Linked DNA regions of Macaca fascicularis. The protein of the gene in region 4 interacts with the protein of the main gene of each other region in a pairwise test. Links are inferred from orthologs where the notes say so. Each region holds a gene or a part of one and is shown on either strand. Other genes may lie near its edges.

The links.
Region 1: the proteins of RAD23A (region 4) and MINDY3 interact in binary tests that used the Homo sapiens proteins (3 or more experiments, as listed by UniProt). The two-hybrid records come from large-scale screens. The link is inferred for Macaca fascicularis from reciprocal best matches to the Homo sapiens genes RAD23A and MINDY3.
Region 2: the proteins of RAD23A (region 4) and NGLY1 interact in binary tests that used the Homo sapiens proteins (3 or more experiments, as listed by UniProt). The two-hybrid records come from large-scale screens. The link is inferred for Macaca fascicularis from reciprocal best matches to the Homo sapiens genes RAD23A and NGLY1.
Region 3: the proteins of RAD23A (region 4) and ZBTB8A interact in binary tests that used the Homo sapiens proteins (3 or more experiments, as listed by UniProt). The two-hybrid records come from large-scale screens. The link is inferred for Macaca fascicularis from reciprocal best matches to the Homo sapiens genes RAD23A and ZBTB8A.

The regions. Positions count from the first base shown.
Region 1 is NC_088383.1:16,727,356-16,730,924, forward strand, and holds part of MINDY3 (ubiquitin carboxyl-terminal hydrolase MINDY-3), read right to left. Parts: intron 2,218-3,569; coding exon 2,144-2,217; intron 1,307-2,143; coding exon 1,227-1,306; intron 1-1,226. UniProt on the Homo sapiens protein: Hydrolase that can remove 'Lys-48'-linked conjugated ubiquitin from proteins.
Region 2 is NC_088376.1:22,570,206-22,573,774, reverse strand, and holds part of NGLY1 (peptide-N(4)-(N-acetyl-beta-glucosaminyl)asparagine amidase), read right to left. Parts: intron 860-3,569; coding exon 745-859; intron 1-744. UniProt on the Homo sapiens protein: Specifically deglycosylates the denatured form of N-linked glycoproteins in the cytoplasm and assists their proteasome-mediated degradation. Cleaves the beta-aspartyl-glucosamine (GlcNAc) of the glycan and the amide side chain of Asn, converting Asn to Asp.
Region 3 is NC_088375.1:202,482,234-202,486,322, forward strand, and holds the start of ZBTB8A (zinc finger and BTB domain-containing protein 8A), read right to left. Parts: upstream 2,808-4,089; 5' UTR 2,736-2,807; intron 2,508-2,735; exon of another isoform or gene 2,477-2,507; 5' UTR 2,376-2,476; intron 1,848-2,375; exon of another isoform or gene 1,493-1,847; intron 1-1,492. UniProt on the Homo sapiens protein: May be involved in transcriptional regulation.
Region 4 is NC_088393.1:13,348,059-13,350,742, reverse strand, and holds part of RAD23A (UV excision repair protein RAD23 homolog A), read right to left. Parts: intron 2,460-2,684; coding exon 2,381-2,459; intron 2,266-2,380; coding exon 2,132-2,265; intron 2,042-2,131; exon of another isoform or gene 1,962-2,041; coding exon 1,857-1,961; intron 1-1,856. UniProt on the Homo sapiens protein: Multiubiquitin chain receptor involved in modulation of proteasomal degradation. Binds to 'Lys-48'-linked polyubiquitin chains in a length-dependent manner and with a lower affinity to 'Lys-63'-linked polyubiquitin chains.

The DNA.
Region 1 (3,569 bases), on a different chromosome or scaffold from region 4:
GACCTAGAAAACCTGTATATTACCCAAGAGAGACTGAGATGAGACTTTTTTTCACTGACAGGATTAAATGCTTTCAGCTATGAATCAGAATAAGGGCTGAAGAACAGGATAAGCTCAATTACAGAGAGCTGAGCAAGATAATTTGTAGTTTTTGTTCACGAATTTCACTGTTTAAACTCTGACCTTTATTAGAAATCAGCAAAACTTGGTTCTCATTCTAACCTCACCACTAAGTAAATAATTTTGCATATGAATTAAATAAGAAGTGACCTTAGTTCTTAAATTTCTTAAATAGTAAAATGGGTTTTACTGTGGTGCTTTTTAATTCTGAAGTTTTAATTTTAATGATTTTTCCTTAATATTATACCCTTTCATGTTTCTGTTATTAACTACACATTTCGGAATTAGAGAAAAATTCAAATGGAAGATCATGAATCACTTCAATGGGAGCAAAAAGTGGTAACTATTATTTTCTCAATTATATTTGCTCTGTTTGCCTGTGAGCTCTGAGAACTCTAGAGCTTCGTGTCCTATACTACATACTTCATGGAGGTACACTGTGGTTACTCAATTTAAGTTAAATGAATAAATAAATGAATTCAGACTGACCCAGTAATAAACTGAAGGCAATTTTATTCCGTTATGTATCAGCTCTCCTTAATGGAATGGATTGGCCAAAATGGGATCCATTTCAATGTGCCTGGCAACACGTGAAGCCACAGGAAAGAAATAATTGAGACCAGAAATGGAAGTGGTGGTGGAAGAGTTGGTAGTTTAAAAGTCTCAGACAGTATTAAATTTGCTCTGTGTTTTAAAGTACGCACATTAAAAGTAACATAGGCAAAAACCCAAAGTAAATATTTCACATCACGAGGCTTTGTAATGCTCAATTTTAAGCAAAGAATGCAGTACTATCTCTGAATAAATATGCACTGTGTTTATATATATTAAGAGTCATAAATCCCAGTTTTATACCAGAGAAAATGAAAGGCTTGAGAAGTAACTTGACTAAAGTCATACATTTGGGATTTGAACCCAAGATCGCATGGCTTCAAGATTAATGGTCTTAACATTATGGTGCCTTGAAAACTGTAAAGGATTCTTCTAATTAGAAAGCACTTAACTTCTAGGTAATGTAGAGCCATTAAATAGATGAATAAAAATCAGCTGTATTCCACTGAAATATTATTCATCAAAGAGAGCAACATAACAAAGAATATACTTACTCATTCCTGAGCACTCTCTGTCACCATCCCATACATTAGAAACAGCATGTCCCGTCAGCAGGAGATTAATTAAACTTTGGCTATTAATAAATATTAAAAAGCAATTAAATATGAATATAACTAGTTGCCAAATCAAACAATTCCTATAGCAAGGTATAAAGTAATGACTTTTCACATTAAATTATGTAAGAATTTACAAAGTTAGGGAAAACCTTACATGTTCCATTTTATATATTCGGCCTTGCTAAATGTATCACTAAGTATATCAGCACAGTGGTATTTAGTGTTCTACATATTCACATACATTTAACAACTTTACCTAACATATATTTAAATGGATAAAAAATGATAGACTAATAATTTACTTAATATTTACAATCTTTAAAAATGAATATATAATTATTAATATTTTGTCTTTGATGAAAGATACATGAATTTTCATCTTTGAGGCAGAAAGGTCTAAAAAGGACTCATGTATTAGAGTAGGTTAACTATCACTGTTTCATTGATTTTTGGTAAAAATAGCCATAAAAAGCTTGAGAAGGAGGGTGGTCCGAGAGGAAAACTGGGAATTTTTTTCTCCCAAGCAGAGAAGCATTTACAAAGATATAATTATTTCTAAGTCAAAATGAATAAATTTTATCATTAAAAAATCATAAATGGATTTGTTAAAATACCTCCCCACTGTTATCTTAAAACAAAATATTTGCCACAATAAATACAACGCATACATAAAATGAAATTAACATTTCATAATCAAGCAAACAATGCATAAAACAAAGAAGTGCTCAAATCCATAGATGTTATACTGTTAACACCACTGACAAGCAAAATTACCTGACTCAGTCATGTTTTATCGTAAGTCAGGTTTCTAAAAACTAGAGTTCACATGAGGAGACGAGATTTTAGTTAATTACCTGCCATGTCCATATACAGGATCTATCAAGGGTTCACTTGCATCTTCAATTTCATTTTTTATGTTTTCAATGCCCTAAAGAAACAAAGAACTCATTGACTTATTTCAAAAAACGAAAATGAAAATTATGATAGTTTAAAAACTGACTAGTTTACACTATAAACTAATACAATTATTTAAGTAACTTTTCTACCATGAGTAACTCAGATTTGAAGTGGGGGGACATTTGAGATAACTGTAAAAAGTAGTTCCTCAAATATCTTTTATTTTCTTTCATGGGCTCTATATAAAGAACACTCATGGATGAAATATGTACTGTTGGTTAAAGGGGCAAGGAGAGAGAATTAACTTTTAATCGGAGAAAGGAGAAATTATTTAATAAATGAATTATTTAAAAGTTAAATGAGTATTAACCTGTTAAGGAAACTGATTTTTTTTAGATCATGTAAAAACTTATTGCAGTAAATACATACACAATGAATACTGATAGAGATATAACATTAAATAACTTGCATTTTAATTATTTAACTGGTACATAAAATGGAAGGTTTACTTCTGATTTTAAGTATTACTTCACAAATATTGGTCATTCAAATGTATACTTACAAAATGCAAATTAGAAGGCCAGGAAGTGCCTTCTTTTCTTAAAAACCAATTTCCTGATATTTTCTAAACCTCCAGAAGGGCACTCAGCTCCCAAAAGTTCTAGATACTGGGTAAGTACCAGAAGACCTACTAATTGTAACCTCATCAATTCCAAAAAGGACAAAGATAAACTGCCATTCATTGTTCTATTCACTTAACTTTAGCCGTTGGTTCTATCATTTCTAACAATTAAACAGATGATTAATTAACAACCAAGATTTTTAATGAATGACTAAATCTCGCAGGGGGAAACAAAGAAGCATGAGCTCTTGCATGTGCCATCCTCGTAAACAAAACAAATCAGGCTATGATAATGTCAAGATGAATACTATCAACAAGTGACACAATCACTAATGAGGAAGCGGATATCATTTTAAAGACCAGGTCAAGGAAGGACAACTTGCATGATAATTTATTGTCTGTAAAGAAGAAGAAACAGGAGATATCAAACGTTTTGAGCATTATAAAGTTAGAGAATACTGAACAGTCAAGAAGAACTTATAAGAAACCAGTCATCTTAGATACCACTATCACTGCTACTCCCAACATCTACACAACTAAGCACTTTTGGTTCTCTTATTTATACTTAATAATCCAAATAAGTATTTATTTACATTTCTAAATATGCTCCCTTTCTTTTCCACTCCATGACCTGTCCTAGTTTAGGCTTCTCTTATTTCAATACCCACTTTTCTAGTTTTCCTGACTCTAGTCTTGTACTACAAACACCAACTCTTATCCATCACAACTCCCTATCCCAATTTAATACATCTTTTATCAAC
Region 2 (3,569 bases), on a different chromosome or scaffold from region 4:
GAAATGGAACCTGGGGAGGCAAGCAGAGAGGCACGAAGGAAACTGAATCTTACATAGCAGCTCAGCATCTCTCTTTAACAATTTCTACGATTGCCTATTCTAACTACTACTGACTACTGAGTCTCTGTAACCTGTTCAAATTCTTTCAACACTCTACAAAGGAGAACTAGTTAAGGATATAAACATAAAGAAAATTCAGAATCTTAATAACTACTTTCAATGTGTCATAAAATTAAACTACACCACAAGATTCCAAAAGGTAACACCAAAATATTCGTTTGAAGTAAACAAAAAAACATACTGAGACTCCTCTCCTGTCACAGAAGAAACCCCTTCTGTGTGGTAACTGAACTCAGTTTTTCTGTTTACGTCAGACTCTTTTCATTTCCTACTAGAGACAGGTAGCTAGATCTATTAGTATTCACGTGTGCTCACAAATCAGGTTTTTGCTAAAAGCCTAAAGTGAACCACATTTGGTCCTGGGGTTGCATGTTTGACCCTCCCTTCTTCTCAAGAATTAAGACTCGTAAGAATTTCTCTGTGGAGCGTTGTTATACTTTACTGAAATTTTAAACTATACTTGCTGTGATTTTTAAATGTCCAATCAGTGAAGAAACAACTATTTCTACTGATTCCCAAAATGATAAATTAAAAAACATTATCTTATTCAAACAATTATTCACCAACATGATAACGACTGCTTTGTGCGTGAAGAGGGGAGAGGAAATCCTCGAACATACTTACCTCTTCAAAGCCCATTTCAAATAAACATTCAACAGCTCCTCTGACAGGCAAGAGTCTAGTAGAAAAAGCTGTGTTTCCAATCCGGATAGATCTATATTTTTCATCATTAGGGTTTCTGACAAAAAACAAAAGTTTGATTATATATGGTAATTTATATTTTTCATAGTGTTTTTGTATTCCTTTTAATATTTTATACTGGCTACATTCCTACATGGTAGCATAGGCTTGAACTTCAAATAAATAGGAAGCAGTCTGGAAAAGTAGTTCAATTTTGTGACTCTTACTTCAGTACACATCTAGCACCACCTCACTGTTTAATTTCACACCTCATAATATTAATGCTGCCACAAAGAAAATCCATGTGACATATTAATTCTGTGCTGTTAAGTCTAGACACCTTAATGAGTCTTTTAGGCTGTTTAAAAAAAAATCCATGTAATCTCTGAACAGGGGAAAAAATTTTATCTGTTTTGTTCTGATGAATCTTCATCATATAGAATGGTGCCTGGCACACAGATGGTGGTTAACAAATATTCGTGAAATGAATGAAAGAAACTAAAAAGTTATATAAAAACAGATCACGGCTGGGTGCAGTGGCTCATACCTGTAATTCCATCACTTTGGGAGGCTGAGGCTGGTGGATCACGAGGTCAAGAGACTGAGACCATCCAGGCCAACATGGTGAAACCCTGTCTCTACTAAAAATACAAAAATTAGCTGGGCGTGGTGATGCACACCTCTAGTCCCAGCTACTTGGTAGGAGGTAGGAGAGTCGCTTGAACCTGGGAGGCGGAGGTTGCAGTGAGCTGAGATTGTGCCATTGCACTCCAGCCTGGGTGACAGAGCAAGACTCCGTCTCCAAAAAAACAAAACAAAACAAAACAAACAAACAAAACAGGTCATAGTTCTTCAAAGACTTTACTTTCAACAAACATGACCTAGGTATACCTTTATAGTCACTTGATTTTCTTTCTTCCCTAAATCAGTGATTGTTCTTACTGTAAGTGAAAACAGTAAGTTACATTCTGTGCTGTTAAGTTTAAGGTACATTTTTTTTTTTGAGGTGGGGGGTCTCCCTTCAGTTTAAAATACATTCTTTTTTTTTTGAGAGGGGGTCTCGCCCTGTTGCCCAAGCTAGAGTGCAGTGGTGTAACCTCGGCTCACTACAGCCTCTGCCTCCTGGGTACAAGCAATTCTCCCACCTGAGCCTCCCAAATAGCTGGGATTACAGGGGCGCGCCACCGCTCCTGGCTAAGTTTTGCATTTTTTAAGTAGAGACGGGGTTTTACCATGTCAGCCAGGCTGGTCTCGAACTCCTAACCTCAGGTGATCCACCTGCCTCGGCCTCCCAAAGTGCTGGGGATTACAGGCGTGAGCCACCGCACCTGGCCCAAGACACATTCTCAACACAGTACAGCAATAAAAGGAAGATATAAATTTCTTTTACCATAATTAAGATTTTGAATAGCATACTTGAGACAAGAAACCAGCACATGAAAAGTTTTGGTTTGAGATTTTTAATTACTTTGATAAATCAGAAGAATTGTTTGAAAAAAACATTAAAAGAACATAAGGTTAAGATAAAGACAGTATTATATACAAAAGACTCTCAGAACATAGTTTAGGATGATAACTTTCATATCTGATACCAACTGCCTTAAAGTAATAGGACTTCTTTAAGTACTATGTTAAGGAGGATTCTGAGGCAGTGTCTGGGATCCACAGGAAGATGTACTTCCATAAGAAGCCATCAGCCTGGGGTATGGTATGGTGAGTAGGCAAATGCTAGCAAACGACTTATCAACTTTGTCCTATCTACACATGTTCCACAGGTATTCTGACATAAAAACAAAACCAAAAAGCAAATATTTTAATTTTATAAGTTTTAACAAATTTTGCATTTGTTTTTCACCAGTCAACTACCTATTGCCAAATGTCATAAATACTCAATGAATGTTTTTAAACTTTTCCCTAATTTCAAAAATCATGTAAGTTTATTACAGAATATTCAGAGACAAAAGCTCTAAATAGTGCTATTCAAAATGTCCACAGATTGGTGCTAATCTACAAATTATTTGCTACCCATATGCAAGAAGTACAGAAATCTTTTGTTTGTTTACAAGGGCATAAAAATGAAGCAAGAAGTACAGAAATGGAATGTTTGGTATATAGCAATTTGATACTGCCATGAAATTTTCAGTGTATTTTACAAAAGTTATTGGTCCATAAGGGATTGGAAATTAAAACAAAAACATTGTTCTTTACTGTATGTAATTTGAGAATCACAGATGGTTGTTAAATACAAAGAAAATTTTATTCTCAACTCTTTATTCTGTGTATTAGATTAGGGTTTCTCAGTCTCAGCACCATTAACACGTGGGACCTTTTCTTAGTGGAGTTTCCTTGAGCACTACAGAACATTCAGCATTCCTGGCTTCCATGCTACACTGTGTTACAAGTGAGCCTCTCTTTCTTACCACTTAAGAAAACTGAACTATAAAATAATCCTACATTTATCAAAGCTAGTTTTAGATAAATGAGGCATCTTTTCCTGACACTCAATGTATTTCACAGGGTGATAAACATGTCAGTACCACCAGGATGATATAACCTACTGGTTCAAAACTGCTTGAGCTATTTTAATCTATTCTTTTCCTTACAGCTTTCAGATCTCTACATGCTCGGTCTTTCTCTAGGCGAATTTTCTAGTTTCTTCCTTTTTTCACAATTGTTTAAAAATTCTTATAAAATACACATCAGTTCTCATATAGTTTGGTTTGTTTTGTTTTTAAAAAACAAAGTCTTGATCTGTCACTCCAGCTGGA
Region 3 (4,089 bases), on a different chromosome or scaffold from region 4:
TATCCCTTCTGCCACGTGAAGACACAGCAGTCCTCCCATCCAGAGGATGCAGCAACGCGGTGCCATCTTGGAAGCAAAGAGCAGCCCTCACTAGGCACCAAACTGCCTGGACTTCCCAGCCTCCAGAAGTGTGAGAAATAAATTTCTGTTCTGTGTAATTACCCAGTCCCAAAGTATTTTTATAGCTGCACAAATGGCATGAGACAGAAAAGATTTAGAATAAAAACACTTAAGAGAATCAAAACTATAGTTGGGGAAAGCCTCATTGAGAAGATGGTATTTGGGTAAAGTCCAAAGGAAGTAAGAGTCATGTGGGTGTCTGGGGAAACAGTATTTCAGGCAAAGGGAAAAGCAAGCGCAAAGGCCCTGAGGTGAGCAGCGGGGAAGCAATGGGATATGAAGTCAGAAAGGGAAAGCAAATCATGAGAGAAGTAGGACATAGTGAGACCAGATGCTGTAAGGCTGCATAGACTATTATGGAGCTTTTGGCTTTTAAACTGCGTAAGATGGGGAACCACTGACCAATTTTGAGCACAAAAGTAACAAAAGCTTCATTCAAGGGAATCAAACACATCAAATCCTTTAAATATGATTAACATATCATTGTGTCACTGAGTTAAATCTATTAGACATAGTTGTATCTAAAAATTATATTTAAATGATACAGGATGAATCAATATTACTCTATCTTACAAAGTTTTTCATGGCCTCAAATCATTATCAACAGCAAAGCTGGTGATTTCAGGGCTTGGAGATAAGGGTTAGTGGCTTGGCCTCCTTCCTGGAGTCCCTACTCATTATGCCTCCTGCTGACATTTTTGAGCACAATCCACCCAGACACCCATTTGGTCAAGGGCCCTAAGCCAGATTCTCACTTCCCAGTTGCCACTTGTGTGGCCAGAGAGGTTCCCAGGAATAAAGACATCTGATCCCTGCTTATCAGTGAGGGGCTCTTGCTCCAGTCCACAAATGCATCCATACCTGAGGCATGGAGGAGATTAAGACTGGAGCAGAAGCTTGCTGGGGATTTTGGAGGCTTTCCTGAAAAAGATCAGTTAAGGTTTTCAGTGCAGGGAAGCGCTGTGTAAGATTGGCCCTTCTAAAGACTCCTCTGGAGGTACCTTAGGAGGGAAGGCAGGACGGGAACAGGAGGTCCTGGGTGGCTATGTCACCCTGGCCTAGAGGTGAAACGCCATGCTTCACACGTGTTCCCTCATTTGCAAAGTGGAATTACCGTCAGCCTAAGTGGTTGTTTTATGTGAAATTAAGTGAAATAATTCATATAGGTGAAAGCAATCCATTTAAAGTTGTGCAAATATAAAGGTTTATCAAGCATAGTGATACTGACGTGTGGTTAGAAGCCCACCAGGTGTGTGTGTAAATCTACCGCTTCCAAACGCGTCTCAGAATGATGTGGAGTAGGGCCATTGGAACAATCAGCGATAAATAAGCGCATCTGAAGGGGAAGGGAACAAGCCGCTGACTAACTCACAAAAGAGGCGGTCAGCATGGGTAGAGATGAGCATGTACGGTTCCGTCCAGAAGCAAATAGTTGGAGCTCAACATTGGTTAGGCGCGGTGAGTTAGCCCTCGGTTTTCTAAGCCCCGATGTCGCATCTTGACATAAAACCAAGGATGGAGGCTGTACCGAGAAATTCGGGCTACTGCCCTGGGAGCCAGGCTCACCGGCAGCGCCCCTGGCCGCGCCCGCAGAGGCTCCGGCTCCGGCCCCGGCCCTGCCCTCCTCGCGCGCCCCCCCGGCGGCCGCCCGTTTTTGCGCCGCGCAGCCCGAGCCCCTCCGGAGTCCGCGGCGCTCGACGGCTCCAGACACGCCCGGCGCCGTCCCCGCCGCCTTCCCGCCGCCGCCGCCAGGAGGCTCCGCGCGCCTTCCCGCCTTTCCCCGGGCCGGGCCGGGCGGCTAGGCGGGCGCGGGCGGCGACGGCGCGGCCATTGTCCCGCAGCCCCTCCCGGGCGCGCAGGAGGGGCCGGCCTGGCGGGCTGGGCGGCGCGGCCGGGCGCGGGGAGGGGCGGCCGGGAGCCGGTGCCCACCAACGCCCGCCGCCGCCCCGGGCTCGGCCCGCCGCCGCCGCCCGCGCGTCCTCCGTGGCCGCCCACAGCCCCTCGGAGCCGGCGCCGCCGCCGCCGCCGCCGCTGCGCCCCGGGCTGCAAATGGCGCCCGCTCGCCTCGGCGCCTCCCGCCGCGCTCCCGGCCCGGGGACGTCTTGGGGAGGCGCGCCCAGGGCCCGCATCTCAGCACCGCCGCCGCCCGGGCCGTGAGAGCCCGCGGCGCCTCCGCCCGCGGCCAGGCTCGCGGCGGGTCCCGGGCAGCCCCGACGCCCGCCCGCCCTCCGCCGGCGCCGCGCGCCGCCACTTACCGCGGGCCGCGGCGCACCGGCCGGTCGCGCGCGCGGGCCGGGGGAAGATTCTTGGTTCTCGGCTGGGGAAGGACCCCCTTTCGAGGCCGTTCCTTTGCGCCCTAAAACAAGTAGCCCCAACGTGAGAGAAACAAAAGGTATTTGCTGACGTGGGCGTTGGACAGAAACGCCCGAGGGCTGGGGACACAATTAAAGGGGCAACGCACAGATTTCAGGCACCAACCAGCAGCTTCGCCCACTCCCCCTGCCCTTGCCCACACCCGCTGCACGCTCCAGAGGCACCGGGGTGCCCAGATTCTCTAGCAGTTGACTGCGGATCATGATTTTAGTCAGGAGCTGAAATTTAAAATTGTACTTTACGTTGGGAAAGGCGCCTCCGGAGGGCAGAAGGGCTGGATTTCTAGGATCTGGGGAATTTGGTTTAGGAAAGAGGGAGGGACTTAGGCGTGCCCACAATTACTGTATAAGTACATGTGACATTATTGTACTTAAGTTTAGCAACGTCAAATGCAAAAGATTTCCACAGAATTTTCCCTTGTATTGAAGCAGTTATTTTAGTTGAGGATAACCTTTTCTAAACCTCTACAGGTCAGAAGCATTTCATTTGAAGAGGAAAACCCAGAGAAGCTAAGAGAACATAATTCCTAGTTTAAGTCCAGAGAAATACAAAATTAGTAAAAACAGCAAGTTCCGTCTTTTCCAATACAAGCATTCATTGTATACCAAGCTTCCTCTGACAAATTTACATCTCTAATATTTAGAGTACAGATATCAGATTATACATTTGCTAAAATAGTAAATCAGTGGATTTTCACTGTTACTATAGAAGCATTACTTCTATAAATTAGTTTCCTAGTTCCTTATGCTGGGGTCAGGTACTGAAAAGTACTGTGTTATAGTAAAACTGGAGGAAAAAGGTTCAAATTATCAAAACTTGGGTTTAGCTTTTAATGGATTCCTCTCCTGTTCATAATCAGTCATATTGGACAGTCTGTAACTTTGATTTCAGGAATAATTATGCATTTTGAGGATGCAAGATCTTCACAATTGTCTCTTAATGTCACTTCTGTGTCACTGCAGAGGTGCTTTGCTATTTAGTTGTGTTTCCTTGCCTTCTGAACAGGTAAGTAGAAACATATTTGAAAACCATTAGGTATCAGGTATATTGGATGTACTCAGATTACTCTGCTAGCGCCCCCCATTGAGAATTCCCCCAGAAAGACCTGGACATGGTTATAGCCAAAGGTTTGATTTTAGCCTTAATTAAAGATTAATGCAAAAGAGTTCCACAAACTTATTCCTCAAGAGAGCACATCAGGTTGGTGATAAACTCTTCGTTGTGGCCGGGCGCGGTGGCTCTCGCCTGTAATCTCAGCACTTTGGTAGGCCAAGGCAGGCGGATCACGAGGTCAGGAGTTCGAGACCAGCCTGGCCAACATGGTGCAACCCTGTTTCTACTAAATATAAAAAGTAGCTGGGCATAGTGGTGCGTGCCTGTAATCCGAGCTACTGGGGCAGCTGAACCAGGAGAATGGCTTGAATCCAGGAGGTGGAGGTTGCAGTGAGCCGAGATCGTGCCACCGCACTCCAGCATGGGTGACAGAGCAAGACTCCATCTCAAACAAACAAACAAACAAACAAAAAACTTTGTTGCAAGGAAGAGGTAATGACAGTTTTGTCCCTCATCTTCATTCTGCTAGCTTTGGGAGCTTGT
Region 4 (2,684 bases):
AGGCAGGAGAATCTTTTGAACCGAGGCGGTGGAGGTCGCAGTGAGCCGAGATTGTGCCACTGCACTCCAGCCTGGACAACAAGAGCAAAACTCCATCTCAAAAACAAACAACAACAAAAAAACAGAGCGAAAAAGGGAAGGGGGAGGAAGCAGACAATGACACCAGAGAGGAAGGCCCAAGTCAGACCCATTTTCTAGAGCAGGGGGAAGCCACGATGGTGACAGTTACAGGGGAAAAGACGTGGTCTGTGGATCTTTTAGAAAGGTAAACTTGGCTGGGTGTGGTGGCTCACACCTGTAACCTCAATAATTTGGGAGGCAAGGCAGGAGGGACTGTTTGGGCCCAGGAGTTCAAAACCAGCCTGGACAACATAGACTGTGTCTCTATTCCCACCCACCAGCCACCAAACCAAAAAAAGTGAACTCATCTGGGTGTTGGGTTTAGGTATCTGGAAGTTCGTTTGTTCATTTTTGTTTCTGTTTTTTTTTTTTTTTTGAGACGGAGTCTCGCTCTGCTGCCCAGGCTGGAGTGCAGTGGCGCGATCTCGGCTCACAGCAAGCACTGCCTACCAGGTTCACGGTGTTCTCCTGCCTCAGCCTCTCCAATAGCTGGGACTACAGGCGCCCGCCACCACACCCGGCTAATTTTTTGTATTTTTAGTAGAGACGGGGTTTTACCATGTTAGCCAGAATGGTCTCAATCTCCTGACCTCGTGATCCACCCGCCTCTGCCTCCCAAAGTGCTGGGATTACAGGCGTGAGCCACTGTGCCCGGCCTTTGTTTCTGTTCTTTTTGAGACAGTCTCACTCTGTCACCCAGGCTGGAGTGCAGTGGGGCAATCTCAGTTTACTGGAATTTCTGCCTCCTGGGTTCAAGCACGTCTCATGCCTCTGCCTCCCGAGTAGCTGGGACTACAGTGGCCTGCCACCATGCTCAGTTACTTTTTCTACTTATAGTAGAGACAGGTTTTTGCCATGTTGACCAGGCTGATCTAAAACTCCTGACCAAGTAGTCCGCCTGCCTTAGTCTCCCAAACTGCTGGGATTACAGGCACGAGCCACTGTGCCCTGCCTGGGTATCTGGAAGCTTTCATGCAACTCTACTATTGTCTACATTTGACCATTTTCGCATTAAAGCAGAAAGTGCTTTTCAGTTATCTGCCTCATGATGGAAAGTGGACTGCGGGACTGTGCAGTGGCAGAGGCCCAGGAAGAGGCTGCCAGGGAGCTGGAGTGCAGGAGGCGCTGAGTGGGAAGAGCAGACAGGACGAGGGATGGACCCCAGCAGGTCCCCAGGGCCTGGGGCTGAAGCAACCCCAGGCTAGTCCTTGCAGAGATTGGGGAGGACTGAGGAGGTCTGTTCTAAGTCTTAGAAGTCTAGTCTAGAGAGCACTTTGATGGAGAGATTAAGCCAGCCATGGAGTGTGGCATTCAGAGAGGCCTGGGCTGGCTACATAGATGTGGGGGTTCCCATACAGACTGAAGGCCCCAGGACATTATGAGGGAGGGCTGAGTGCAGATGAAGAACAGGATCGAGCAGGAGGAGCCGGCAAAGGACTGAGAAGTGAGGAGAATGGGCAGACAGCAGGGTCCTGAGCCAAGACCGGTAGGCACTTCACCAAGGACCCAGAGGAACCTGCTTGCAGCTGGGGGGTCACTCCCCCACTCTTCCTGTGAACCTTCAAGGGCAAGGTGGAGCCTCACAGAGCAGAGTCATCCCAGAGCCAACTGGGGCACAGCTGTCCTGGGTGATGTCATGCCACCTTACAGACATTTACGCAGCACCATCTGTATGTGGAGCCAGAGCCAGAGCCCCAGCCCAGGACCCTGAGGCAGCAGGCAGACACATACATTACCAGTTGTATGACCCTGGGGATGACAGGCTGCTCTAAGCTTCTGGTGTCTTCTTCTGTGGGAGGTGATGTTGACAGCACCCACATCTCACAAGATGGTTGGGAAGACTGAGAAACCGTGGGGATCAACAGGTCACAGGAAGCATGGGGGCGTGGGGGAAGCATGTGCTTAGTCCTGCTTTCCAGGCCTAGAACAATTCCTACATGTTATGGACTCTGGTGCCCACAGGGAACAAAAATGGTGGCTGCCATGGCTCCCTCTGCCCTTGGGATCACACCTGCAAAAGCTGAGGGTTCTCCTGGCCCAGCTGCTGGAGCAGAGCGGGCAGCAGCGCAGGGTTCTGCTGAATCACCTGCCGCATGTTCTGGAACTGGGGCTGGTCCCGCAGGAACTCCAGGGGGTTCTCTCCTGCTGATAGTAGGAAGGGGTGCAGTCAGACACCATGCCGGGCTCCTAGGAGCACTGCGGGGTGGAGTGTGATGTGAGTCAGGTACCTGAAGGGCAGATGCAGCACGTGCACACCCACCTGCTTCCGTGGCCGGCTGCTCGGATACCTGGCTCTCCTGGACAGAACCGTGTTCCGGCTCGGGGCTCCCAGGAATTCCCTGTCAGGGGTCCTGTTTAGTTCTAATGCACAGACCTCCTGCTGCCACCCTCCTCCATGCCCTGGCTGGACACAGATGAGGCCTCGGCCCTGCCCTCCAGAGGCCCACCCACCACTCACATCCAGCCTCCTGTGGGAAGCCTTTAGTGGCTAGAATCACTACCCAAAGGCTCTTCAGGGCAGGTTTTGCCTTCCCAACCGCCCATCAGGGCAGTGAGGCCCGTAT